4 linked regions of the Lonchura striata genome follow. The protein of the gene in region 1 binds, or shares a complex with, the protein of each later gene. Links are inferred from orthologs where the notes say so. Each region holds a gene or a part of one and is shown in the gene's direction. Other genes may lie near its edges. The genes, in order: PDRG1, ASDURF, PFDN6 and DNAAF10.

What was found.
Region 2: PDRG1 (region 1) and ASDURF share a complex: the UniProt entries of both Homo sapiens proteins name them as parts of the PAQosome complex. The link is inferred for Lonchura striata from reciprocal best matches to the Homo sapiens genes PDRG1 and ASDURF.
Region 3: PDRG1 (region 1) and PFDN6 share a complex: the UniProt entries of both Homo sapiens proteins name them as parts of the PAQosome complex. The link is inferred for Lonchura striata from reciprocal best matches to the Homo sapiens genes PDRG1 and PFDN6.
Region 4: PDRG1 (region 1) and DNAAF10 share a complex: the UniProt entries of both Homo sapiens proteins name them as parts of the PAQosome complex. The link is inferred for Lonchura striata from reciprocal best matches to the Homo sapiens genes PDRG1 and DNAAF10.

What each region holds. Positions count from the first base shown.
Region 1 is NC_134619.1:7,630,332-7,636,334, reverse strand, and holds PDRG1 (p53 and DNA damage-regulated protein 1), read left to right. Parts: upstream 1-3,890; 5' UTR 3,891-3,936; coding exon 3,937-4,020; intron 4,021-4,118; coding exon 4,119-4,194; intron 4,195-4,369; coding exon 4,370-4,444; intron 4,445-4,743; coding exon 4,744-4,824; intron 4,825-5,138; coding exon 5,139-5,221; 3' UTR 5,222-5,488; downstream 5,489-6,003. UniProt on the Homo sapiens protein: May play a role in chaperone-mediated protein folding.
Region 2 is NC_134610.1:30,857,957-30,865,435, reverse strand, and holds the start of ASDURF (ASDURF protein), read left to right. Parts: upstream 1-4,465; 5' UTR 4,466-4,539; coding exon 4,540-4,614; intron 4,615-6,759; coding exon 6,760-6,813; intron 6,814-7,322; coding exon 7,323-7,398; intron 7,399-7,479.
Region 3 is NC_134631.1:618,046-625,756, forward strand, and holds the start of PFDN6 (prefoldin subunit 6), read left to right. Parts: upstream 1-4,691; 5' UTR 4,692-4,731; coding exon 4,732-4,788; intron 4,789-5,893; coding exon 5,894-5,975; intron 5,976-7,711. UniProt on the Homo sapiens protein: Binds specifically to cytosolic chaperonin (c-CPN) and transfers target proteins to it. Binds to nascent polypeptide chain and promotes folding in an environment in which there are many competing pathways for nonnative proteins.
Region 4 is NC_134605.1:2,910,377-2,917,271, reverse strand, and holds the start of DNAAF10 (dynein axonemal assembly factor 10), read left to right. Parts: upstream 1-3,892; 5' UTR 3,893-3,910; coding exon 3,911-4,102; intron 4,103-5,030; coding exon 5,031-5,131; intron 5,132-6,209; coding exon 6,210-6,340; intron 6,341-6,802; coding exon 6,803-6,895. Other genes in the region: RNA-binding protein PNO1, read right to left, coding at 1,036-1,119, 2,894-3,043, 3,661-3,831. UniProt on the Homo sapiens protein: Key assembly factor specifically required for the stability of axonemal dynein heavy chains in cytoplasm.

The sequences.
Region 1 (6,003 bases):
TCCAGGCTTGGGCCGAGGTCCGGGTGGGTGGGGGCGTGGGTGCTTCTTCTCCCCTTGGGCTGAGACACGACCGCAGACCTCCAAAGCCCTGCCCGATGCAGCCAGAGAGGCCAGCAGGGACTGGCTGGGCTGCACCTGAGCCCTGCTTTGGAGGGAGACTCATAGAGTCATCATAGGATGGTTTGGGTTAGAAGGGACCTCAAAGATCAATTTGTGCCAACGCCTTACCAAGGGCAGGGACATCTTCCACTAGACCAGGCTGCTGAAAGAAGTTGTATCCTCTTTGAGAAGACCAAAGATGGGGTTTGGGAGTAGGCTTTCGTTGTTCCCGAAATGAAACTCGTGAAAGAGTTACATATGTTATTCCCCAGCCTTGGGAATGTCCCTGAAAGTGAAGTACCAAGGCCACTGGAGTCTGGGTGCACAAGAGCCCTGACGCTGCCCCGCTCCGGCGCTCCACCTCTCCGCTCGCTGCCCGCGGCAGCTCGGACACAAGGTGTCGGGCAGAGCGAGGGGCCGCACCCCGGGACAGGAGCTCAAAGGAGGAGCAGCGCTGTGCCGGCATCCCTGGCACTGCTGGGCGGGAAAGGGCTGCGAGGGAAAGGGCTTCCTCTCCTTTGTGGCGGGTCTCCAGGGAGGGTGACTGCATACAGCAGCTGCCTCCTGGAGGCAGCCCCAGCCCCCAGCCCCCGAGGCTCAGCCTGGTGCCTCTGCCTGCGGAGGAGCCCGGCTGGAGCCCGGCCCGTGGTCAGCACGCCGTGCCACATGGAGAGGAGGAGGGTGTTTGATCCCGGGAAACACAGCTAACTTCCAAATCCTGCCTTGTAGGATGGCCAGAGGGATCAGCACAAACCGGGGGTGGGGTAAGCCTGCATTCCTGGGATGAAATCCAGGGGGTGAAGATGTTACTCAGCACAAGGCAGTGGCCGGGCCCTCGGCAAGGCTCTCCCCGTGCTGCATGTATTAGCATCGATAATGAAACACCTCACCTTGAGATGCTCCTGACAGATCCCCTCCACAAATGCCTGCCTGGGGGAGGGGATGCTCCCAGCATCCCAAAGCCTGAAGAAAGCAGCCTTTCATCAATAACCAGGCAGGGCAGGGCCCCTTCCAAGGATGGGGTCCACTGGCCAGAGCCCCTGTCAATATTTGGCCACTCCAGACCTCTTTGGGCTTGGTCCCTGGGGGCTCTCTGTCTTGGCTGGGTGATGGAGCACAGACCACGTTACCATGACGGTGGGCACAGCGCCAGGGAGAGGGGACTTGGAAATCAGGGAGAGACAGACCCACCTTTCTCCCCTGACCCTGAAACACCCCCTCTGAAGCAGCAGTTAAAGATCCACAGCCTGAGAACATGGAGACCGTGGTTTGAAGTCTGATTTATCTTAACAACAGGCCCCAGCAGCCACATGAAAGAAGAAGAGAGAAAAAAAGCCTTATAAACATCCCTGAAGCTTCCTGTGCAGCTGCCAGCAGGCAGGGAGGGTTTCTGGCTGCATACAGAAAAGGGCTGCAAGGAAGAAAAAGGAACATGATGAAACCAAACCTGCTCTTTCCACAAAACACACAGCAAAGCAAAGCAGCTCCCGGCAGCGGGTGGGTGGCTGCTTCCCCTGAGTGCCCAGTTCCCAGGGAACTGGTCCAAATGGACCTCTGGTTCCAGTCTGAGTCCAGCCTCCAAGCAGAATGTCTGCCCCTGGTGCTGGCTCCAGGAGGAGAAATCCATGATGATTTGTGGCTGGCTCAGAGCTGGCTGGGGAGAGGCCGCAGAGTGCAGCACCAGCCACTTCTCACTGCCCTGAGAACGTTTTCCAGATGCCCATGGCTTGGCGATCCCTCAGCTGTGCTTCCCCCATGCCTGTGCTGAGCTGGAACCCACTTTCCCAGGGAGAGCAGCCCCTGCCCTTCCATGCAGCCCAACATTCCTGGCAAAACCCTGTCTTCACTGCACTGTCATTGGCAACCCCAGAGTCACTGTTTCTTTCCACTGCTGCCAGGACACAGCCAGCCTGCTCCCATCCCTGTTCCCATGTCACATCTCATCCCATCCCCATCCCCATCCCCATCCCCATCCCCATCCCCATCCCCATCCCCATCCCCATCCCCATCCCCATCCCCATCCCCATCCCCATCCCCATCCCCATCCCTCCTGCCCAGACTCTGAAAGCCCTCCCTCCTTCCTGCTTTTTCAGATCTCCAGCCAGCTGCTCCCACCGACAAATGAGCATTTCCTAGCATTGGCATCCAGCCCCAATCCCAGTACATTTTCTGGCTGATGTCAGGAAGGAATCTAACCCGAGTGTGGATCATTCCCAGCCTGGAGTGCCTGTGTGTGCCCCAGCAGTGGCTCCCACTGCTCCCCTGAAGCTTCTGTACTTCATTTGATGCAGCCACAGACAGAGATCTCAGTTAACTGAAACAAATGATCTTATGGGATTAGGGCCAGTAATCTTCCGATCTGGGTAATCTCCCTTAAGGGATTATTTGCCCACAGAAGTGTGGTGACCACCAGCCAGCTGCTGCCTTTCTCTCTCCATCCCTGTCCCCTGTGGTCCTCATCTCTGGCAGCTCAGAGGGGCCACAGCAGTGGGGTCACCACCTTTGCAGAGCTCCTTGTCAAATGAGTTTCATGAAGTGCATGTGCCAGGGCCCCCAAGTGCTGGGGCTCCTCCTCTCCCCAGCCCCTATTTGCTGCTTCAGGCAGGTTCTTGGGGCTCCCTCCCTTGGAAGCACTGATCTAAAGCAGATCAGAGGTCCCCCCACTATCACCAGGAAAGCAGCAGCTGGGGGGCACAGCCATGGTGGCAGAGATGGACAGCTGGGGACAGGGCTGCATTCAGAAACTTGAGATGCTGTTTCAAGGCTCTGTCCAGAGAAGGGACATGGGACATGAGAACCCATGTGCCCTGTTACCCGCCAGCCCTGGGTGTGCTCCTGGGGGCCCCTTTCCCTCTGCAGAGTGCACACGGTGAGGGTCTACCAGTCCTCACCATCAGTGCTGTGTCTCTGCATCTCCCACACCCCATTTTTGCAGCTCCTCTTGCTCATGGCTGGGTGGGGCAGAAAGAAAGGGATAAAAAGGATTTTGAGTGGCAATATATTTGCCTTCCTGCAGGCAGGGGTGTTCAGAGCAGCAGATGGATATGGTCGCCTGCCAGAGCATTCCCGGGACCAGCCCTTGCCTGACACAGACTGGGGGGCACCGGGGCTGGCTGAGGGTGAGTCAAGCTGCCGGGACCACAATTGGATCCAGTCCCTGGGGATGGCAGGTCCTGGACGCTGAGCTACAGATGAGCCACCAGCTGCACGAAAGGAAACCTGAGCTAATCGCCCCTCTCTGAGTGCCCTTTATTGCTTTCTGGGATGACAGAGAGGTCACCTGATGCTCCAAGGGCCCAGCTGCCAACAGCGGCACCGTGCTGGGAAAGCAGCGAGGAAGAGGAGACAGACGGCGGTGCTGGGGGCGAGGGGATGGGCTGTGAAAAGTGATAAATAATTCACACACAAAGGGACCAGGCAGGCCAGGGCTCTCAGCCCCTGTCCCTCAGGGCTGTGCCGAGCGGGGTGGGTTGGGGGCCGGCGACGGGGCCGAGACCCCCACTCCGGGGCTCGGTGCCACGCGGCCACACCGAGCCCTCCATCCTTCTGCCGGGCACAGAGGCAGCGCGGAGCCAACCGCGGCACCGCTAGTCTGCACTACGGAGGAGACCCCGCGCTGGCAGCGGGCACGTCCGTGCCAGTGCCAGCCCACGGCCGTTCCCGGCCGCTCTCGCCCCACGCGTGTTCGCGGCCCGTCGGTCCCGCCGCTCCCCGGCGGCGCTCCCGGCGGCGGCCGCCAGAGGGCGCGCTGAGCCCGGCGCCTCCGCCGCGGAACCGCCCGCGCGGCCGCGGCGGCGGCCCGGAGCCGGACGGCGGCGGACCCGGAGCGGCCCCGCCATGGCCCGGGACCCGGCCTTCGTGCTGCGCTACCTGGCCGAGGTGGAGGAGCTGGCCGAGGACGTGCTGGCGGCACGGCAGCAGGTACGGCCCGGCTCCGGCGGGCCTCCCCCGCCCCGCTCTGGCCCGCCGCCGGTAGCCCCGAGTCCCGGCCGCTCCCGCCTCTCTCGCTCCCGTTGCAGATCGTGGACCTGGACGTGAAGCGGAACCGCAACCGCGAGGCCCTGCGGGCGCTGCACAAGGACCCGGAGCCCGACGGTGAGGCCGGGCGGGCTGCGCCCACCGTGACCTCGTGGCCGCGGGTCGGGCTCCGCTGACAGCCCCTTCCCTTCCCTTCCCTTCCCTTCCCTTCCCTTCCCTTCCCTTCCCTTCCCTTCCCTTCCCTTCCCTTCCCTTCCCTTCCCTTCCCTTCCCTTCCCTTCCCTTCCCGCAGAGAAGGCCATGGTGTGTTTCGGGGGCATGTTCATCGAGCTGCCGAAGGCGAAGACCCGGGAGATGCTGCAGCAGGGTGAGCTCACCCCGAGGGCTCCGTGTAGCTTTAAGTGATTTAATCAGCACCGTAATTAACAAGATGTTGGCTCAATTAACGGACTTGTGCCCAGGGATGGGCTCTGAGGTGCCCAGAACCTCTCGAGAGGCTGATTCTGGCCCGAGCTGTGCCTTGGGAAGCACACGGGGAAGCTGCTCAGCCCCGGGGGTGGTGCAGGCAGGGTGGGACTCCCCTGTGCCTGTGTTGTGTCCCATGGGAAATTGAGCCTTCATCCCAGAGCCCACCGCAGTCCTCCTCACTCCCTCCTCTTATCCCAGACCAGGCAGAGCTGGATGAGGAGATAAACAACCTCCGGAAGGAGCTGCGGGTGAAGGTCAACCGGCTCTATGAAGCTCAGGGTAAACTCTCCCGCTGGAACCTGCTCAGTGCTTGGGAGCTGACTCGTGTATCAGCAGATTCCTTAGTTCCATGTGTTCCTGCAGCCTCTTTTCCACTGGTTTTGCAGTTCCCTCCCTGCCCCAGCAGCGTTGTTTGTCTCTGTGTGGAGCTGCCACCCAGCAGCATCCTAAACCCCCTCCAACCCTGTGCTGGGGTGACCCCACTTCAGCTTCCCGGGCTGTCCCTGCCCTCCCCACAGCCCCTCTCGAGTTGAACATGAACTGCTGCACTTCTTTGGTGACAAAATCCTGATGTTTTCAATGTGTTTTCTCAGGTAAACCTGAGCTGAAAGGGTTTAACCTGAATCCCATGTCTGCTGAGGAAATGAAGCTCATCAACCGCATCCTGGAGGGCTGAGGTGGCTGTGCCATTGTCACAGCGTGTTTGGCTGTCACTGTGGGCTCATGTTGCAGCAGCCACAGTCCTTGGGATTTGTAGGACGTTGGAGTGTCCAGAGCCCACCCAGGTGAGGGCCCTGGGAATCCTTTGCCTCCTCAGCTGCAGCTCTGCAGTTTCTTTGGACCACAAACCCTTTCCTGCTCTGTGCTGGGTCTTAGCACAGTGCTGGGCAAAGGCCCACAGCTGGGGTGGAAGTGGGATCATTAAAATCAGAGCAGTGAGACATTCCTGACTCCATGTGCATGTTCCTTGTTGGGGGTTTATGTGAACACTTCTGGGGCTTGGCTTCAGAGCTGCTCCTTTGTCACGCTGGGAACAGGAGTAGGAGGGATTGGGAATCCTCCACATGCCTGAAGCACAGAAGAGGAGTTGTGCACGCCTGTGGCATTCAAACAAAGCAAAGCTGTACATCTGAGGCACGTCAGGAATCTCTAAGGATGTGTAGGGAGGAGCAGGAGGAGGCAGCATCCTTTTAGTCTTGCTGGGAAAACATGTTCCACTGTTGGAGGGCAGGAGATGACAGAAATGAGGCTTTCAGGACTGGATGAACTCATAAAACTGGGGTATGTTTTAAAAAGCAGCCTGAGGAGGGCTGAGCAGGAATAGTCACTGAGTTTGTCTTGTAGTAAAAGGACAATTGATGTCATTAGTAGTAGTTTCTGCAAAGGTTTTAAAATTTGCTGTTTCTGTGCTCCTCCAAGTGATTAACTTGGTCAAGAACATAAGTTTTTAAAAAAATT
Region 2 (7,479 bases), on another chromosome or scaffold:
ATATGCCTGCTCTTTGGTGGCACCAGCAGAAGAGCTTCCAGCATCCAGGCACCAGGCTTCCATCTTCATACTGCAAACAAAATATTTGTTTTGTAAGACACAGCATTTGATTTTTTTAAGGTCCCTGAACATTCCACTGCTCAAAATGTGTATCTGGAACTCTGATCCCATATTCAAAGTAGTTACTGCAGCAAACCTGTGCATTGGTTATTCAGAGTACGTGAGGGACTGCCCTGCAACAGACAACCCCAAATCTCATAGTTCTGCATTTCTAAGTGAAACTAGCACTAACATGAACTTAACTCTCTTAAAGTCTAACAAAGTGCACAACAAATTGTTCTGCACTAAGGAAGGAAAAATTATGAAAATTAAACGTCAAACTGTCTTCTCAGCTACAGCAACATAAGACCTTGAGAAAGGCTCTCATTAGAGCTACTTCAGTTTTATACTGTAGAACAGAGTGAACTTGGAAACGTCTATTTTTAAATCCACTCATACTTAAATCACAGATGAAAGACTGCTGGGAGTATTTTACAAATAAGTTGTTTGGTTCAGTACTTTCAGAAGCTTTGAGAGATGCAATCAGATTGTCAAAAACTAATGAGAGACTGATGATAGTTCTCAGCTACTTTGACAACAGCCTTAAAATCTTCCATGTGAAAGTGATGAAATTCTGCTTCTAATCATAAAATGAATAATTTAATACTTGTGAACTACATAGATTTTTTGTGCAAATGAGTTCTAAGATTGCTTTGACAGTGTATCAGAAGTTAAGTGCTAAAAAAACTGACTTCAACACCGTAAAAGTGCTCAGACTTCTTCTTTTATTTGTGGTGACAGGACTTTTAAAGTAGAATGATTATAGGTTTTGCAAGGTTCCTTGTGTCATTGACAATCTAGGTACTTAACCTAAGGAAACAAACTACAACTTTGCCTAGATTCCAGATAACCGGGTGTGTAAGTTAACCTAACTTCCTTCAAATCCTGATGTCTCAGAAGAATTAGCAAAAGGTTTACCATAAAGCAAACCCAACTATTTTCAACTATTTTCGTTTTCTTAGACTGGTATAAATTAGCAAATTATTAAAATACAGGTTCAACTGTGAAATTAACACAGCTTGATGTTACAAATCAGAATCTACTTATTTGGATTATGGTGATACAGTATCTGAATACAAAATAAGCTAGTGTCAGAACTGAGGATGCTCCAAAACAGAAAAAAACCTATATAAAAGCAATATCCTCTGACTGTGCTGCTCTCTCCTCCTAAGAGACTTCATCCACCTGTCTTACATGGCTGGCCCCACTCTTGACTGTCTGAGCAGCCAGCACAGCTTCAGCTTGCTCTCTTGTGGCCAACATTAGAGCTACAATTATCCTATTCCCCTCCAAGCACCTCTGTGACTGGTTCTTCTAAAGCATGACAAGTTTCCTCAGAGTACAATCACTTACAGGTGAACCTCATAAACCACTCAGAGTTGAACCCACAATTGATTATGGTGGCTTAACATGTTCCCAAGCATCAGCTGAGAGATACAGAATTGAGTGCATGAGGATTTCCAGCCCACAGCAAAAACCAGGGAAACTTTGAGGCTGCTAAGCCTCCAAGGCAGTATCAGTCCTACCCTGTGCCTCACAGCTGGAAAATCCTCTGACACAAATATACTGTCAACATCATGAACAGAGGTCTTCAAGACTTGACAGTGTTATCACAAGGATGGCCTCACCTCTTCAGCATGGTTTTAGCAGCAGCCTTTTGGAGCTTGAGCTTGGTTATTTAAAGGTTACTGTTTTGGCCATGCATTTGCTAACAGGTCACTGCAACTTCAGAGATTTTCTGGCATCAGTAACTACTTCTGGTTTTTAGCTGTTTAAATGACTTGTTGGGTAATTTCTGTTATTTAAAAAATATTTTTAAAGATGCCAGATACTGAAAGGTGAGGGCTTTAAAAGACTGAAATATTATTTGATACTTTATTAACATTGTATCGGGCATTGTTAACCTCCAGAAACAGTTTTATGCTAGTAAAAGAAAAATAGTTTAGAGCACCGAAGTTGGCACAAGTGCACAGACACAAGCAGAATGACCAGAGATGTATCACTGAATGACATTTCCTGCTTAGCTGTCAGCCAGATGAGCTCTAAGTGCCCTCCCCAGCTCTCAGGAGTAACAGTGCAGGCACATTGCAACACCAGAACTGCAGCAGCCCTGAAACAAACTTGAATGGAGAAAATACTGCTCTGCGCAGGGAGTGCAAAGGTGCCAACATTTCCCTTTGCTGACTTGCAAACACAGCGGGTCTTATAGTGGGTTTGACTGTAATTTCAGGAGTGATCTTGTGACATGAATTCATTCATTTTAAAAGGAACTGTCAAAAGCCCACTCCATATCAGTAGAAGAATCATTAAAACCATTCCACATTTGCTATTATGCCTCAAAACCATTATCATCACTCTTCTGAAACAGTCAATAACACTGAGTGATCAGGTTTTGATTAATAAACATTAACAGCATTTATTACTGAACATAAAAAGGATAATCAGTGCAGAAATTACACTTTGACTACTGTGTTACTTGATCATCAACCTTTGTAACACATGAACAACAAATAAAACTTGGGCAGCAGAGGGTTGGGAGTAACTCAGATTAAACACATTACTCACTAGAACAACCAGTGACAAACTACAAAGCACACTGAGCAATAGCACCAAAACTGATCTATGTGACCCAGATATGTGAATTTCTTATAGAAGTCAAAGGACAAGCCCCAGAACCATTCCACCCCCTGGGTAACAACTCCCCAGCAGCTTCAGCTGCTCTGCTTTGGGACTGCTGGAATCACAGAGCACTGTGCACTGCTGAGAAAAACAGATCAGGTCCCTCACCTGTCCCTCACACAGCCCCACACCCAGCCGTGGTGAGGCAGGGCTGGAGGCACAAGTGTGTGCTCAGAGGTGGGGGGAAGAGCAGGAATGACCTTTCAGACAAGTGTAACCTCAGTTTCTCTTTCTGTTAAAAGCAAATAAGCACAACTTTTGCAAGTTAGTATATTGACAAATATTCCTATAGCCAAATTGTCTTTCTTCATCCTTCTGCTAGGAGCCAAAATCCTTGTTCTTCCTATACGGCTTCCAAAAATTTTGATCAACATTACAGACATTCCAACCAAGCTCATGGATACAACCAAGGTGCAATCTTGCTCACAAACTCTAAGTTACCAAAATATATAATATATATGATTATGTGAGATTAAAGAAAATAAAGGCAACACTCTCTTACTACAGTTGCAAATATTTCAAATGGTTCATGAAAATTTGAACTATATTTGCACTGCAGTCAGTACCACAAGGACCACAAGTGGGATAGAAATCTCATAAAATCCTATAACTGAGCAATCGGTAGCAGTCTGTAAGTTTGGATTACTCTTGAGTGTTTAGAATAATATACAATGTTTAAAAAGAAGGAAAGGTATTAAAATGAGACAATGATGTATTTATTAAGACACGTAGACATATGCATCACTGTGACATATCTATAGCAGAATGGAAGAGACAAAGAAACGTTAAGATCACCTTAGGTGGACGGTCTTAAACATCCATCTTGTATAATAATAAAGTCATAGAATCCTGGAATGCTTTGGGTTGGAAAGGACTTCAAAGATTATCTCATTTCAATCCCCTGCAATGGGCAGGGACTAGACCAGGTGTCTCAGAGTCCTGTGCAACCTGGCCTTGAACACTTGCAAGGATGGAGCTGCCACAGGTTCTCTGGGCAACTGTGTGTCTCACATCCCCCGTGTAAGCAATTTCCATCCATCCAGTATCTAACCTAAATCTGCCCTCTGCCAGTTTTAGTCCATTCCCCCTTGTCCTGTCACTACATGACCCTCTAAAAAGTCCTTCTCTTTCTTGTAGAAACATATGCTAATAATGAACATAATGAAACATACGATCCTAATGTCTGTAAATAGTGTAAATTCATATCTCTTCTGGAATACCTTTAAGCAAACCGCTTAAAGGGGTTTGAGAGCCCGCTGCCGACAGTAGCCCGGGTTCACACCACACCAAGCCGACACGCTGCACAAGGAGCACAGCTGCCAAGCCTCATTCCAAGCGTCTTCTCCACCTTGGGCCTGTGCCGATGCCCTCCCGGACCGGCTCCCAGGAGCTCCGTGGGCACGGCACGGCACGGCGCGGCACGGCGCGGCACGGCGCGGCACGGCGCGGCACGGCGCGGCCGCCGCACTCCCGGCTCCGCCCGGCCGGGGGCGCGAGCTCCCTCAGCACTCGCGCCGGCCGGCCCGCGCCCCGCGCGTGCTCTGCCGCGCCTGCTGATTGGTGTCCCGTCAGGCGCGTGCTCTGCCGCGCCTGCTGATTGGTGTCCCGTCAGGCGCGCGCTCTGCCGCGCCTGCTGATTGGTGTTCCGTCAGGCGCGTGCTCTGCCGCGCCTGCTGATTGGTGGCGCTGTGCGCGCGCGCGCCCCGGGGCGGCAGCTGCGCAGGCTGCGTGGGCAGTGCGGCTGTCGGCGCGGTCGGGGCCATGTCGGGCCGCCCGGCGCGGCAGGAGGATGGGGAGAGCGCGGCGCTGCGCCACAAGGAGGAACTGAGCCGGCGGGTGAGGGGAGGCGGCCCCGCGGGGCCCGGTGCCGGGGTCCGGGCCGAGGCGCGGGGGCTCCTGGAGCCTGCTGCCTCGGGTGCGAGCAGCGTGAGGAAGAGGAGGGAGGGTGCCGTCTGGGACCGGGGCTCCTGTGCCCGGGGTTGCTCAGGCCCCGAGAGCGGCCTGCATTTAGCGAGCCCGCGTTGCCTCGCTAATAGCTCGCTCGTCGGATTGGTATTTTGGATCTTACTGCTCCAAATTGAGCTTGAAATGGCAAGTGAGGCGCACTGAGGGTTTTTTCACAGAATATCATGAGTTTCAAGAGACGTCTAGTGGTCGAGTCTAACTAACTCTGGCGCTGCGGAGAACACCCCAAGAATCACACCGAGGGCCTGAGCACGTTATCCAAAGGCTGTTTGAACTCTGTCATGCTGGTGCTGAGACCACTTTCCCTGGGGAGTTCAATGCCTAATCACCCTCTGGGTGAAGAATCTTTTCCTTGTATCCAGTCTAAACATCCCTGACCCTGCTCCAGGCCGTTCTCTGTGGTACTGTCACTGGTTACCAGTGAGAAGAGACCAGTGTCTTCCTCTGCACTTCCCCACCTAAGGAACTTGTAGACTGCTGTGAGCTCTCCCCTTAGTCTCCTCCAAGCTGGACAAATCAAGTATCCTCACCCGCTTCTCAAATGGCTTCATCTTTATCCTTGTTCATCATTATCTGCCCAAAATGTCTGAAGATATTTCAGCCATAGAGGCAGATGCTCCTAATTTATCTGTTCCTTCCTTCCTTGTCCCCACAGCTTTGTTCAGTATGCAATCTGCCAAGCCCTGTGGAACTTTCACTCCAAAAAAACCTCATATCAATTTACCTGTATTCCAATAGAGACTACAGGGAAGCCAGAGAAGGGGCTTTTTGTCAGGAACTGTAGTGGTAAGACAAGGAGTAATGTGTACAAATTGAAAGAGGGCAACTTTGGGTTAGATACTCGGCAGAAATTTTTTGCTGTGAGAATGGTGAGGCACTTACACATTTTGCCCCGAGAAGCTGTGGATGCCCCAACCCTGGAAGTGTTCAAGGCCAGGGTGGATAAGGCCTGGAGCAGCCAGGTCTAGTGGGATGTACCCATGGCAGGAAGCAGGTTGGGTCTAGATGATCTTTAAAGTCCTTTGCAACCCCTTAATATTATGTGATTATATTAAAATAAATTACTTCTGTGTGGCCATGTATAGACAGTGATGCTTTTAGTTGCTTGGAAGCTACAAAGCTGGGACATCAAAGAGCTACAGGTTTTCACTTCTGTTGTGCCTAAGTGGCTGGTTTAGTCTGGCAGAGGATGGCTCTGCTGCTTTGCCTTGTTGGTGTTGTAGATACCAGAGATTGATGTAGCTGCTGGAAAAGTTGTAACTTTCAGTGTGCCATACAGTTTGGCTGACCTCACTCCGTGGCAGCTTGCTACTGTTGTACCAGTTCCAGGAGACACAAAGGAAGAGCAGAGAAACCCATGTTTGCTTCTAACAAAAAGCATTGTGCCCTCTGAACAGATTTTGTTTCAATTTTTGGCATTTGCAACTTCTTCTGATTACTCTTTAGCTGTGAACTCTTTAGTTCACAGCTGCCATTGTAAAAGAAAATGGGAATATCTGCCACATCTGTCAGTGCAGAACAGAGTGGTAAATCCCACTAAGGAAGTTAATATAGAAATCTAGAGCAATAAAAAGGCTCCCATTGCTCCTAATACAGTTCTAGAGTGTTTGTATTTTCATTAATTTCCTTTTGAATCTGGAGCATACCTATCATTATGAAGTGTATTCTTGATATTATGCTAATTTTTAAAAGTTATTTGATGTTTTATTAGTTGTGTACATGTTCTCTTCCGAGGGGGGGAAAATGTGCTCTCTGATTATAAATAGCTGTAGCTACTCTGGCTTCCCAGAGGCTTTTGAGGGGAGGAGAAATACCAATATATGCAACATAGCCTGTTTCTAGAGAAATTAAGTATGTAATTTTTATACTTACTTTGTCTTCATTGATTCATGTGGAGAACAGCAGCTATACATGCATGTTGCTGTCTTAAAATATCAGTAGACATGCTCACCACTGGGATTGTGATATGATGTCTTGTCTTTATCATTAAAATCAAATGCATCTTTTGGCTTTCAGATTAAAGAGCAGAAGGTTGTAGTTGATGAGCTTTCTAATTTGAAGAAGAACCGGGTAAGGATTTACAAATTTGCTTTTAACTATTTAATTTCAGCAGAGAAATTAAAACATAAAGACAAGAAGGACAACAAAATCAGAGCATGCTGTCTTTAATTTGTTGTAATCTGGATTTTAATAAACATGTGGTCTGCTGTGCTCAGAATAATTTGTCCTGCAAATTATTTGATCATGTATACTTGGGGCTTTTTTATGTTTTGAGTTATTTCATTAAAATTTTTGAGTTTATTACATGGATTCATGAGGTATTCTTACTTTTTCTATGCTTTTGTTTAAAATAGAATGTGATCCCTTGTGGATGAGGAAAAGAGAAATTCAAAATTGTCTTAGGCTGAGCATTAAATGCTTTTGATAGTACAGCATTAGAATGCTGGTGTTCACAGGGCAGAACTTACACCTTCACTTTTATACCAGGAGTGTCTCTTTGGACCCACAGCAGCTTCTGCTGCAGTGTGGTTCCAGAATCTGCTGCTTTGACTTAATACAGTGTGGGTTTTGTTTTACAGAAAGTTTATAAACAGCAACCCAATAGCAACATATTCTTCCTTGCAGACCGGACAGAAATGCTGTCTCAGTGCAAAAGTAAGTTTGCAGTGTTCAAGTATCTCAAATAGTTAATGTTTAAAAGCTTATTTGTAGCTGATTTGAAAGGTGTATTAAAAT
Region 3 (7,711 bases), on another chromosome or scaffold:
GGGGGCGTGTCCCCACCTGTGACGTCATTGCTCCATGACGTCACCCCCATCCCCAGGGGGATTTCCCATGATGTCACTACCCTATGACGTCACACCCCCGTGATGTCACACCCCTGTGATGTCACACCCCGTGATGTCACACCCCCGTGACGTCACCCCCAAACACGGGGGGGGGCGGGGTCTGCAGAAGGGGGGGATTCCCTCACTTATGACGTCACACTCCCGATGACGTCACTCCCCATGACGTCACACCCCCAACCTCTGTATCCTCCCCCAGACACGAGGTTTGGGGGGGGAGGGGAGGTTCCCCCATAATGACGTCACTCCCCTCACCTATGACGTCACACCCCATGACGTCACACCCCAAATGTCTGTACCCTCGAGACACGAGGTTTGGGGGGGATCCCATCCCTATATGGGGGGGTGTCCCCCTTCATGACGTCACTCCCCTCATCGATGACGTCACTCCCTATGACGTCACACCCCCAACCTCTGTATCCCCCCAGACATGAGGTTGGGGGGGGTGGGGGGATCCCATCCCCTTATGGAGGGGGGGTTTCCCCCACCATGACGTCACTCCCTCATTGATGACGTCACTCCCCATGACGTCACACCCCCAGCCTCTGTATCCCCCCAGACATGAGGTTGGGGGGGGGATCCCATCCCTATATGGGGGGGGGGGTTTCCCCCTTCATGACGTCACTCCCCTCACCTATGACGTCACACCCCCAACCTCTGTATCCCCCCCGAGACAAGGTTTGGGGGGGGGGAGCACCCCATCCCCTTATGGAGGGGGGGGTGTCCCCCACCATGACGTCACTCCCTCACCTCTGACGTCACTCCCCATGACCTCACACCCCCAACCTCTGTATCCCCCGAGAGACGAGGTTTGGGGGGGGGGTGTCCCCCTTCATGACGTCACTCCCCATGACGTCACACCCCCAACCTCTGTATCCCCCCAGACACGAGCTTTGGGGAGGGGGGGGGGGAGCACCCCATCCCCTTATGGGGGGGTGGGGTTTTCCCCACCTCTGACGTCACCCCCTCACCTCTGACGTCACCCCCTCACCTCTGACGTCACTCCCCATGACGTCGCACCCCCAACCTCTGTATCCCCCAGAGACAAGGTTTGGGGGGGGGGGGGGAGCACCCCATCCCCTTATGGAGGGGGGGTGTCCCCCACCATGACGTCACTCCCCTCATTGATGACGTCACTCCCCTCATTGATGACGTCACTCCCAAATGACGTCACACCCCCAACCTCTGTATCCCCCCAGAGACAAGGTTTGGGGGGGGGATCCCATCCCTATATGGGGGGGGTTCCCCCTTCATGACGTCACTCCCCATGACGTCACACCCCCAACCTCTGTATCCCCCCAGACATGAGGTTGGGGGGGGGATCCCATCCCTATATGGGGGGGGGGGGTTCCCCCTTCATGACGTCACTCCCCATGATGTCACACCCCCAGCCTCTGTATCCCCCCAGAGACAAGGTTTGGGGGGGGGATCCCATCCCTATATGGGGGGGGGGGTTTCCCCCTTCATGACGTCACTCCCCTCACCTATGACGTCACACCCCCAACCTCTGTATCCCCCCAGAGACAAGGTTTGGGGGGGGGGGAGCACCCCATCCCCTTATGGAGGGGGGGGGATGTTTTCTCCCTTCATGACGTCACTCCCCTCATTGATGACGTCACTCCCAAATGACGTCACACCCCCAACCTCTGTATCCCCCCAGAGACAAGGTTTGGGGGGGGGATCCCATCCCTATATGGGGGGTGTCCCCCTTCATGACGTCACTCCCCATGACGTCACACCCCCATCCTCTGTATCCTCCCCCAGACACGAGCTTTGGGGGGGGGATCCCATCCCTATATGGGGGGGGGGGTTTTCCCCCTTCATGACGTCACTCCCCTCACCTATGACATCACACCCCCAACCTCTGTATCCCCCCCGAGACAAGGTTTGGGGGGGGGGAGCACCCCATCCCCTTATGGAGGGGGGGTGTCCCCCACCATGACGTCACTCCCCTCATTGATGACGTCACTCCCCTCATGGATGACGTCACTCCCCATGACGTCACACCCCCGACCTCTGTACCTCCCCAGAGACGAGCTTTGGGGGGGGGGGAGCACCCCATCCCCTTATGGAGGGGGGGGGGATGTTTTCTCCCTTCATGACGTCACTCCCCTCACCTCTGACGTCACTCCCCATGACGTCACACCCCCAACCTCTGTATCCCCCCAGACACGAGGTTTGGGGGGGTGTCCCCCTTCATGACGTCACTCCCCATGACGTCACACCCCCATCCTCTGTATCCCCCCAGACACGAGGTTTGGGGGGGTGTCCCCCTTCATGACGTCACTCCCCTCATTGATGACGTCACTCCCAAATGACGTCACACCCCCAACCTCTGTATCCCCCAGACACGAGCTTTGGGGAGGGAGGGGGGAGCACCCCATCCCCTTATGGAGGGGGGGTGTCCCCCACCATGACGTCACTCCCCTCATTGATGACGTCACTCCCCATGACGTCACACCCCCAACCTCTGTATCCCCCCAGACACGAGCTTTGGGGAGGGGGGGGGGGGAGCACCCCATCCCCTTATGGATTGGTTTTTTTTTTTTTCCTCCCTTCATGACGTCACCCCCCTCCCCTCTGACGTCACCCCCTCCCCTCTACCGTCACTCCCCCCCCCCCCTCCCCACCCCCACCCCGCCAGCGCCTCCCGCAGCCGACACCGCATCACCCCCGGCCGCCCCGCGCACCCCCGGCCCAGCATCTCCCAGAGGCGCCGCATCCCCTCGGGCCGCACCCGGTGCGCGCTGAACAGCGCCCCCCGCAGGCAGCAGCGCTCCGCCGGCGGCCCCGCCGCTCCGCCGAAGCGCGCCGAGTGCCGCGGCGCCACGCCGCCCTCCGCCGCCGCCGCCCCGACCCACGCGTCCTCCGGCAGCGCCGCCGGCAGCCGCCGCCCCGCCGCCAGCACCGCGCCCGCCGCCGCCGCCGACAGCACGTACGCGGCGCCGCTGCAGTACCGCGGGTACCGGCGGCGCGGGTACACCCCACGCGGGACGTGGTGGCGGCTCCGCGGGTCCCGCTTGGGCTCCACCCGCCAGTGGACGCGGCCGAGGTAAAGGCGAGGCGGCGGAGAGCGCCACGCGGCCAAAAAGGCGGAGAGCGCCGGGATGTTGAGGAAAGAATCGTCGTCCGCCTTGAGGAGGAACGGCGATTTCCCGCAGCAGGCGAGAGCCCAGCGGAGCAGCAGCTGCGTTTTGATGGTTAAGTTGCCGTAGGTGTCGGTGAAGTCGCCCTGTAAAACGTCGCCGTGCCGCCGCCACTCGGCCAGCAGCTCCGGTTGGTCGCGGGGATCCTCCGGGGAGCCCAGCACGAACACGGTGCGGGCGGGCGGAGCGCCGGTGTCGCCCCGGGATGGGTCCCACGGGCCGCCCCAGGTGTCGCGGACGGCGGCGCGGTGCTGCCGGTGAGCCGGGGCGCTGGGGACCAGCGTCAGCAGGAACGGGCCCGGGGATGAGCACGGCGCCGGGGCCAGCAGGACTCGGGGGGTGAGCGGGGAGCCGCCGGGAGCAGCGGGGAGGACGCCGGAGCCCCCCGACAGGAGACCCACGCAGCCGGGGGGGGTTTGGGGAGCGCCGGTTCTGACCGCGGGACCACCAAGGAGAACCCCGGGACCTCCAGTTCCAACACCCGGACCCCAAATTCCAATCCCGGCACCTCCAGTTCCAACCCCGGGACCCCCAATTCCAACCCCGGGACCCCCAATTCCAATCCCGGGACCTCCAATTCCACCCCCGGGACCTACAAATCCAACCCCCGGACCCCCAATTCCAACTGCAGGACCCCCAATTCCAACCCCCGGACCCCCAATTCCAACCTCAGGACCCCCAATTCCACCCCCGGGACCCCCAATTTGAACGTCAGGCCCCGCAATTCCAACCCCGGGACCCCCAATTCCAACCCCCGGACCCCCAACTCCAACTGCAGGACCCCCAATTCCAACTGCAGGACCACCAATTCTATCCCCGGGACCCCCATTTCCACCTGCAGGACCCCCAATTCTACCCCCGGGACCCCCATTTCCAGCCCAACCCTCGACCCTCGAGCTGCCGTTCAGGACCCCCGGCCCCCATTTCCCAGCGCCCCCCCGCTCATCCCCAACCCCCGCGCCCCCCTCCCCAAGCCACGCCCCCTCTCCCCCAAGCCACGCCCCTTCTCCCCCAAGCCACGCCCCCTCTCCCCCAAGCCACGCCCCCCCGTCCCCACGCCCCCCATTCACCCCCTCGCCCCCCCAACTCCCACCCCCCGCGCCCCCCACGCCCACCCCCCGCTTTCCCCCGTCCCCCCACGCCCCCCACGCCCCCCGCCCCTCCTCGCAGGCCGCCAGGGCCGCCGCCAGCAGCTCCTCGCCCGCGCCGCTGCCCTGCAGCCACAGCAGCGCCAGCGCCAGCGCCGCCAGCGCCGCCCGGGCCGCCCTCCGCCGCCACCTGCGCCGCCTCGGGCCCATCCCGCAGCCCTCCCCGCGCTCCTCTCACCTCCGGCGGGCCCCAAAAACCCCCAAATCCGCCCCAAAATCCACCCCCGGGGGAGGGGGGGGGGGCGCGCTCGGGCGGCGGGCGGCGCGCGGGGAGGGGGCGTGGCCACGGCGGGATAATTAGCATAAACGGGGCGGTGGGCGGGGCTTAGAGGAGGGGGCGTGGTTTGGGGCTGCGGCGCATGCGCAGAGCGGAGGGGGCGTGGCTCGAGGCGTTGGGGCCGCGCGCGGAGCGGAGGGTGAAGAACGGGGGGGGGGCGAGGGGGGATTTTGGGGGGATTTTTGGGGATTTTGGGGATTTTTGGGGGTCCCGGGAGGGTCTTGGGGTCCCCCTGGGAATGCGGGGGGGTCCTGGAGGGGCCTTGGGGGGGTTTGGGTGGGGCAGGAGGAGATTTGAGGGGGGGCCGCGAGGGAATTTGGGGGTTCTGGGGGGAATTTTGGGGGTCCCGGAAGGATTTTTGGGGGTCTCGAGGGGATTTTGGGGGTCCCGAGTGGGTTTTCGGGGGTCCCGAGGGGAATCTGGGGATCCTGAAGGGGTTTGGGTGGTTACGAGGGGAATTTGGGGGTCCCCTGAGGATTTTGGGGGTCCCGAGAGGATTTTGGGGGTCTTGGGAGGGGTTTTGGGGGTCCTGAGGAGAATTTGGGGGTCCTGAATGAATTTTTGAGGGGTCCTGAGGGGATTTTGGGGGGTCCCAAAGGGATTTTGGGGATCCCGAGGGGATTTTGGGGGTCTCGAGTAGAATTTTGGGGAGTCCCGAGGGGATTTTGGGGATCCAGAGAGGAATTTTGGGGGTTCCCAAGGGATTTTGGGGGACCTCAGAGGATTTTGGGGGTCCCGAGCGGATTTTGGGGGGTCCCGAGGAGATTTTGGGGGGTCCCGAGGAGAATTTGGGGGCCTTGAGGGGATTTTGGGGGTCCTGAATGAATTTTGGGGGTCCCGAGGGGATTTTGGGGGGTCCCGAGGAGAATTTGGGGGCCTTGAGGGGATTTTGGGGGTCCTGAATGAATTTTGGGGGGTCCCGAGGGGATTTTGGGGGGTCTCGAGGAGAATTTGGGGGTCCTGAGGGAAATTTGGGGGTCCCCAGAGGAATTTGGGGGGTCTTAAGGGGATTTTGGGGGGGTCCCGAGGGGAATTTGGGGGTCTCGAGGGGAATTTGGGGTGTCCTGGGTGGGGTTTGGATTTTTGGGAATTTGGGATTTTTGGGGCTTTGGATTTTTTGGGGGCTCCTGGATTTTGTTTTTTTTGGGGGGGGTCTCTGAGGGGTCACGGGAGATTTTGGGGGTGCGGGGGGTGACCCCAAACCCCCCCCAGCCCCCCAAAATCGCCCCCAAATTCCCCCCCAGCCCCCCAAAATCGCCCCCATGGCGGAGCCGCTGCAGAAGAAGCTCCAGGCGGAGCTGGAGAAATACCAACAGCTGCAGAAAGGTGAGCCCAAAATCCCCCAAAATCACCCCAAAAATCTGCCCTGGGAGCCCCAAAATCACCCCAAAAATCACCCAAAATCACCCCCAAAATCTGCCAAAATCACCACAAAAAATCTGCCCTGGGAACCCCAAAATCACCCCAAAAATCACCCAAAATCACCACAAAAAATCTGCCCTGGGAGCCCCAAAATCACCCCAAAAATCACCCAAAATCACCCCAAAAATCTGCCCTGGGAACCCCAAAAATCACCCAAAATCACCCCCAAAATCTGCCAAAATCACCACAAAAAATCTGCCCTGGGAACCCCTAAAATCACCCCAAAAATCTGCCCTGGGAACCCCTAAAATCACCCCAAAAATCTGCCCTGGGAGCCCCAAAATTACCCCAAAAATCCCCCAAAATCACCCCAAAAATCTGCCCTGGGAACCCCAAAATCATCCCAAAAATCACCCAAAATCACCCCCAAAATCTGCCAAAATCACCCCAAAAATCTGCCCTGGGAACCCCTGAATTCACCCCAAAAAACCCCACAAAATTCTGCCCTGGGAACCCCAAAATCACCCCAAAAAATTCCTCCTGGGAGCCCCAAAATTATCCCAAAAATCTGCCCTGGGAACCCCCAAAGTCACCCCAAAAATCCCCCAAAATCCCCCCAAAAATCTGCCGTGGGAACCCCAAAATCACCCCAAAAAATTTCTCCTGGGAGCCCCAAAATCACCCCAAAAATCTGCCCTGGGAACCCCAAAATTCCCCCAAAAATCCCCCAAAATCACCCCAAAAATCTGCCATGGGAACCCCCAAAATCACCCCAAAAATCACCCAAAATCACCCCAAAAATCTGCCCTGGGAACCCCCAAAATCACCCCCAAAATCTGCCAAAATCACCCCAAAAAATCTGCCCTGGGAACCCCCAAAATCACCCCAAAAAATTCCTCCTGGGAGCCCCAAAATTACTCCAAAAATCTGCCCTGGGAACCCCAAAATTCCCCCAAAAATCCCCCAAAATCACCCCAAAAATCTGCCCTGGGAACCCCCAAAATCACCCCAAAAATCCTCCTGGGAACCCCCAAAATCACCCCAAAAATCACCCAAAATCACCCCCAAAATCTGCCAAAATCACCACAAAAAATCTGCCCTGGGAACCCCAAAAATCACCCCAAAAAATTCCTCCTGGGAGCCCCAAAATCACCCAAAAAATCCTCCTGGGAACCCCAAAAATCTGCCCTGGGAACCCCAAAAATGCCCCCAAAAATCCCCCCAAAAATCTGCCCTGGGAACCCCAAAAATACCCCCAAAAATCTGCCCTGGGAACCCCAAAAATCCCCCCAAAAATCCCCCAAAATCACCCCAAAAATCTGCCCTGGGAACCCCAAAATCACCCCAAAAATCACCCCAAAAATCTGCCCTGGGAACCCCCAAAGTCACCCCAAAAATCCCCCAAAATCACCCAACAAATCTGCCCTGGGAACCCCAAAAATCCCCCCAAAAATTCCCAAAAATCACCCCAAAAATCTGCCCTGGGAACCCCAAAAATCCCCCCAAAAATCCCCCCAAAAATCACCCCAAAAATCTGCCCTGGGAACCCCAAAAAAACCCCCAAAAATCACCCCAAAAATCCCCCCTGGGATCCTCCAAAATCCCCCCAAAATTTTGGGGGGATTTTGGGGTTCCCCTGACCCGTTTTTGGGGGGATTTTGGGGTCCCCATGAACCCCGATTTTGGGGGATTTTGGGAGG
Region 4 (6,895 bases), on another chromosome or scaffold:
CTGCAGAGCTACAGGCTGGGGACAGAATGGCTGGACAGCAGCCAGGCAGAAAGGGAGCTGGGAGTTCAGCTGGCAGCTGGCTGAACACAAGCCAGCAGTGTACCCACATGGCCAAGGAGCAAATGGCATGCTGGCCTGTGTCAGGAACAGTGGCCAGCAGCACCAGGGAAGGAAGGCATTCTGCTCCTGTACTTGGCACTGGTGAGGCCACACCTTGAGTATCATGTCAGTACTGTTTTGGGCACACCAATTTAAGAAGGACTTTGAGATGCTCGAATGTGCCCAGAGAAGGGCAGCAAGGTGATGAAGAGTGTGGAGCAAAAGTGATGAGAAGTGATGGAGGGAGCTGGAGGGATTTAGGCTGGAGAAAAGGAGGATCAGGGGAGACCTCAGCACTGTCTAGAGCTGCCTGGAAGGAGGGTGTAGCCAGGTGGGGGTCAGCCTCTCCTCCCAGGCAACCAGCAGCAGGACAAGAGGACACAGCCTCAAGCTGCACCAGGGAAAGTTTAGGCTGGGTATTAGGAAGTTCTTCACAGAAAGAGTGACTGGACATTGGAATGGGTTTCCCAGGGAGCTGGTAGAGTCACCATCCCTGGAGGTGTTTAAAAAACGACTGGATGTGGCACTCAGTGCCCTGGTTTAGTTGATAAAGTCATAGCTTGAACTTGATGATCTCCAAGGTCTTTTCTGACCTAGTTAATTCTGTGATTCTGTGAGTTTTGCACAGACTGGAGGTTATTGGCTTGGGCTTAAGAAAAATGAGCAGAGTCTACCAATGCAGAGGACCTCAGAGAGAGGATATTGCTTTATGCTTGCCTATGTTCTCTGTTTACGTGCTGTTTGACGGCTACTTTTTTATCCAGCATTATCTTAAGTAACTGGATGTCTACTCCAGTCACAATTCTAGAAAACATTGATTTCTAGAAAACCACCTAAGGATTTTTCTCTTTATTTCTTACTGAAATTTGCAGAGAGGCCAGGGACAGATCAGTAAAGTGGAGCAATCTCTCACAATCTGGTTGTTGGGAGACTCACCTCTACTTGAAATCCAAGTATGAAGGCTTTCACAAAATCAGCTGCTTTCGTCAGAGCACTGAGATCCTTTGTCTCTTGACAAGTCTGCAAGACAAGAAGTTATGTTTGCAAATTAAGACCAGGCAAGTTAGGAGCAGAACTTAGAAGTGATCAGCCTGTGCTTGGAGGGGAGAGAAAAGCTGCTGAAAATCCACACCACCACTGACTGAGTAGAACTCTTGGTGGAGAAAACCCAAAACCAACACAAACTAAACTCCAGCAGCAAACAGCAGGAAAAAGAGAAGGATGGTGATGGCAGGAGAGTTATTCTAATGACAATATTCTAAATATGCCTTAGCAGGTGAATGAAATTAATTTCAAAGTTTTATATTCATGATAGATATGGGCAAAATGAAATCAGTGAATCGTATGTCAAAACTTTAGATATGCCCTTAAAAACTCTTGGTGTGAACATTCCTCAGGAGGAATAAGGATAAAGAATGAGCATCTACAAGATTTACAGGTTTATACTGCTGTCTGTGCCCTAAGGTATTCCAGTGCAATCCATTAAAGAAAAAGCACATGCTATTAAACTATGAGCCCTTATCATCTGCCACAAACAAAGGCAGGAGGAGATTCAGTGCCCCCATGTAAGATACTGTTTACTGTCAGGTCAATATTTGGTAACCTTAAATAGCCAGAAAACATTGAATTACAAAGTCATATCTAAGACATGGATGAAAATTCTTCTTAATGTACACAACTTTCTATAGTACATAACTTTCTCCTACAAAAACAGAACACTCTCCCAGCTTCTGCTGGCTCCTTCTGGAACAGATTTGGATTTTACTTGCACTAACTACTAAGCAATCATTTTCAGATTTTGGTCCCCAGGGAGGTGACACCACACAGTTTCCATTTTTCCAAGCATTATGTGGGATTTACGACTTCTCTAGTCTTTACCCTGCGGACCAAGAACACACATGAGGAGAGGCACTGCTTTTCAGGAGGCAGAATTGTTATAAGTGAAAGATCCAATTTATTAATTTAAGAAAATCTATTAAATGCATCAAATATAAATTTATAGAATAACAAAAAAAAAAAAAAACAAAAAAAGAAAAGCCATTATAAAAAAAAAAGGTCAGTGGTGAGCCCGGGTGTTGGCGCTGAGTGAGACACAGGTTTGACTGCTGCAGTAGAAGGTTTCCTATGCTCCCAGAATTTGGTATTGAGATGTATCTCCCTGATGGCTCTGGCTATCTCAATTTCGGATATTTATCACATATTTATCGTCCGGGTGTTCCTTGGACCACCTTGATGGGTGATCCATCTCCGGGCTGGCCACGTTCAATTGCTTGTGAATGGAGTCCTCCCTCTTCTGTCCAGGTGGTTTTGACATTGTTTTGCAATCCTTGTTGCTGGCTTGAGTTTTAAAAACTTCTTGTAAGACTATATCTTAACATTTATAATTATAAAATATACGACAATTTTATTTGCACAAATTATCACATGTAACAGAATCAGAGAATGGTAAGGGGTTGGAGTGGACCGTAAAACCACCTAGTCCCAACCCCCTGCCACGGGCAGGGACAATGTCTCTAAACCAGGCTGCTCAAAGCCTTATCCAGCCTGCTTTGAACAGGGCTGGGGTAGTCCCGGGCAACCTGTCCCAGCGTCTCACCACTCTCACAGTAAAACAAGTCTTCCCAACATCTCCAAACTAAACTTCCCCTCTTTCAATTTGTAAACGTGACTCCTTGTCCTGTCACAAACAGCCCCTCTCCAGCTCCCCTGGAGCCCCTTCACACAGGGAAGGAGCTGCGAGCTCTAACACAACCTTTTCCCACCGGGGAAAGCCCCAAGGAGCCGCTCCCCTTACCTTGATCTCAACATTCCTCGTTTTCAAGTTGAACCTGATCTGAAGCTGCAGATGCTCCACAATGGGCGTGAATATCTTCATCCAGTTCTCCTTGAGCGGCGTGTACCTGTTGGCCGGCACGGGGATCTTCCTCAGCTCGCCTTTCCCAACCTGCGGGGGGGCGAGACACAGCCGGCCGTGAGTCGGGGCCGGGGGGCGGCGGACACGCGGGGCCGGCGGGCGGACACCCGGAGCCGGACACGCGGGGCTGGAAGCCGGACACGCGGGGCTGGAAGCCGGACACGCGGGGCTGGAAGCCGGACACCCGGGGCCGGGAGCCGGACACCCGGGGCCGGGAGCCGGACACGCGGGGCTGGAGGCCGGACACGCGGGGCCGGACACCCGGGGCCGGGGGGCGGACACCCGGGGCCGGGAGCCGGACACGCGGGGCCGGCAGGCGGACACCCGGGGCCGGCGGCCGGACATGCGGGGCCGGGGGGCGGACACGCGGGGCTGGAAGCCGGACACGCGGGGCCGGCAGGCGGACACGCGGGGCCGGACACCTGGGGCCGGGGGGCGGACACGCGGGGCTGGAAGCCGGACACGCGGGGCCGGCGGGGGGACACCCGGGGCCGGGGGGCGGACACGCGGGGCTGGAAGCCGAACACGCGGGGCCGGCGGGCGGACACGCGGGGCCGGGAGCCGGACACCCGGGGCCGGGAGCCGGACACCCGGGGCCGGGAGCCGGACACGCGTGGCCGGCCGGAGTTTCCCCTCGCCCCGCGTACCCCGAGCGCCTCGGCGGGCACGGGCGGGAATGCCGGCCGCTTGCTGGGTCGCGGCTCCGCCGTGTCCATGGCAGCTGCCGCCGCCCGCTCGCCGCCCGCCCGCCGCTTCCTGCGGCTGCGGCGGGACACGACGCTGGTGAAGCCGCCGGCCGCGGGCTCGCCGCTCTCCATGCCGAGCCGGACGTGGTGCGGCTGTCGGCGGAAGGGGGCGGCGAGTGTTTCCGCCGGCAGCCGGCGGGGAAGGGGAGGGATGTCGGCGGTGCTGGGAGCGGAGCGGCCGCAGGTGGTGTCGCACGTCCAGCAGGCGCTGAGCTACACCGTGTTCGACTGCAAGTGGGTGCCGCGCAGCGCCCGGCTGCTGTGCCTGGGCAGCGCCGCCCGCGGCACCGGCGTGCTGCAGCTGTACGAGCTGAACGGAGCGCGGCTGCAGCTGCTGCGGGAGGTGAGCGCCGGCTCCCTCGGGACCGGCTCGTCCCCAGCCCCGGCGGTGAAAACGCAGGAGCCGACCCGCGTGTTGAACGCCCCGGGATGCGCTGAGCGCTCCCCGCAGCTCCCCGGAGGGGCGTGCCGGGTGGGAGCCTGACTCTTCTCCCCGGCAACTACAGCCGCGGAGGTTTCCATTGGCTTTGGGAAGGATTTCCGCACGGAAGGGGGGATTAGACATTGGAATGGGCTGCCCAGGGAGGTGATGGAGTCACCGTCCCCGGAGATGTTGAAGGAAAGGCTGGATTTGGCACTCGGTGCCTTGGTTTAGTTGGCAAGGTAGTGGCCGGTGCTAGGTTGGACTCGACCATCTCAAGGCTCTTTTTCAGCCCAACTGAGCCTGTGGTTCTGCGATTTTGTTTACTGCTGTGTTTTGTAGGTTGTTTTTATGTGTTTTGTTATGGTTTTTTATGTGTTGTGTTATATGAGTTATTGCCTGAGTTTGTTTTTTGGGTTTTTTTTGTGTTCTTTCGTTTGTTTGGGTTTATTTTTTTATTCGTTGTTGGAGTTTGGTTGGATTTTTGATTGGGTTTTGGGGTTGTTTTTGTATGTTTGCTTGCTTGCTTGTTTGTTTCTTTGGTTGATTTTTTTCTCCGAGATTGACCTTTGAGTGTTCACTTCTGAGGCTAAACAGTTCCTCAGGTGCATAACGCCCACTAGGCTACAAGCAAAATATTTGCTTTAGACCAGCAACCTGGACCCTCTGCTTTTCTGTGCACAAGGACTGAACTCAAACTTGCCTTCAATAGCATTTTATTAGTATTTTGCACCAAATATCCCCTTGTGTTTCGCTGACACTTGCCCCAGTGCACTCCTAAGATCCGCGTAGCCTGTGGATGATTTTGCCTTTTCCGTGTGCTGACACAGACATTTCCTTTCTTTAAAAGATTGAAAAGCCCAAACCTATAAAATGTGGGACTTTTGGTGCTACATCTCTGCAGCAAAGATACTTAGCTACAGGAGATTTCGATGGAAACCTTAACATATGGTAAGCACAGATATTCTCTGGAAGCGTTTTCACTTGATGTTGTCCATGTCTGTCTGAACAGAGGTTTCTGTTTGTGGATTTTTGCATGAGATGCTCTCCATGCTGCCCGTGGTTGGGACCCAGTGCAAGCTTTGCTGGCTACTGTATTTGAACCATGCCTGTTTTGTAGAAAAAACACAGAATTCTGCATTATTGTTTAATTCAGTCCTGCTTCACTCCCATCTTCTTTGTGCAGCTACAAAAACCTGATAAAGTTCTGGGAGGTTGTCCTCTGAAAAGAGGGTTTTAAATGGATGCATGAGTACAAACAAGAGGTTGTGTTCAACCTAAATTTCCTGTCTAGATTAAATATATCTTTTTAATCTTGACATATCAAATGTTTCCTCTAGGTCCCTGAATTATTGGTGTAATTAATATCTAGGTAAATTTATGATCAAATTAAGTAGTAGTGTCAAAAGGAGATTTTTTTATTACCATCATTATTATATTGCCCTGTGTCAAGGAACTACTGGTTCTTGTTGGAATAGCAAGAATTACATGGACAGTTACTAGCTGAAATGTAAAATAAAATTCTGAAAGATTCTCAAAGAATGGGAATCTGTGGGAAAGAACCATGAAACTTATGGCTGGATACAACAATATTCACTGAAGTTAGAGAGCAGTAGTCAGAGCTAGGTGGGGATCAATGAATCAAGTTATTTTATAGACCTACTGAAAGTACAGATACTTCTGTACTTCTTTCAGGTCTATGTACTTTTTACAGAGTATCTTGATCTGTAGTGTGATTCATTTTTGAGCCCAGCGTGTAAAACTGGCTCTGAGTGGCTGCTGTGGTGAATCCCACAACTGCCTTTACAAACAGGGAGGTCCAGAACAGAGCAAAATCTTTTGGAGCAGTCCAATGTAGTAGCCAAAGAAGGAATCAAAGACTCGTGGTTCTTGGTGGTGATATCCATATTTGTTCTCACTGTTAATCTGAGCTTTTATGATTTGTGCTCAAGTTTCCTTTCATTTTTATACAAATCCTGAGTGTCAAGGAAAAATGCCATGTTTTCTGTTCTTTTTCTTTCTTGCCTAGGAATTTAGAAGCTCCTGAAATACCAGTGTATTCTGTGAAAGGTCATAAGGAAATCATAAACAGTATAGATGGTGTAGGTGGCTTAGGAATTGGGGAAGGTGCACCAGAAATTGTGACTGGCAGTCGAGATGGTGAGTTAGTGAACTCTGCAAGTCTTCCCAGTTCCTCTGAGCCTGCAAGCTCTTGATGGCAGGGCACAGTCTGCCATCTGAACTAGTTACAAGCTGTTGCAACTAGTTCTTTGCACACTGTCTCTTGAATCTTGCTTGGGACTGATTTTCCCTAATTCTTCTAGAGCCACAGATAAGCAAAAGGTACTGTTGTCACTGGTCGTGAGACAGAAGGAACACAAACCATGATAAATGCAAAATATCAGCTAGAGAAAATGCATCCTTAACAAATGCTTTCACTCTGTTTCTGTTTGGTTTTGTGGTTTTTTTCTTATATCCACAAAACAAAGTGAGGCTTGCTAGAATTGAAAGAGATGCTACTGTCTTTTGAATGATTAGGATGGAAAGCAAAGGGCTTTTCTAGGAAGGTGAACACAGTATGACTGTATTCCTAATAGAAAATCTATTGTCTTTCTTTCCCAGGAACTGTGAAGGTGTGGGACCCAAGGCAGAATGACATTCCCGTGGCTAATATGGAATCTGTACAGGGAGAGAGCAAAAGAGACTGCTGGACTG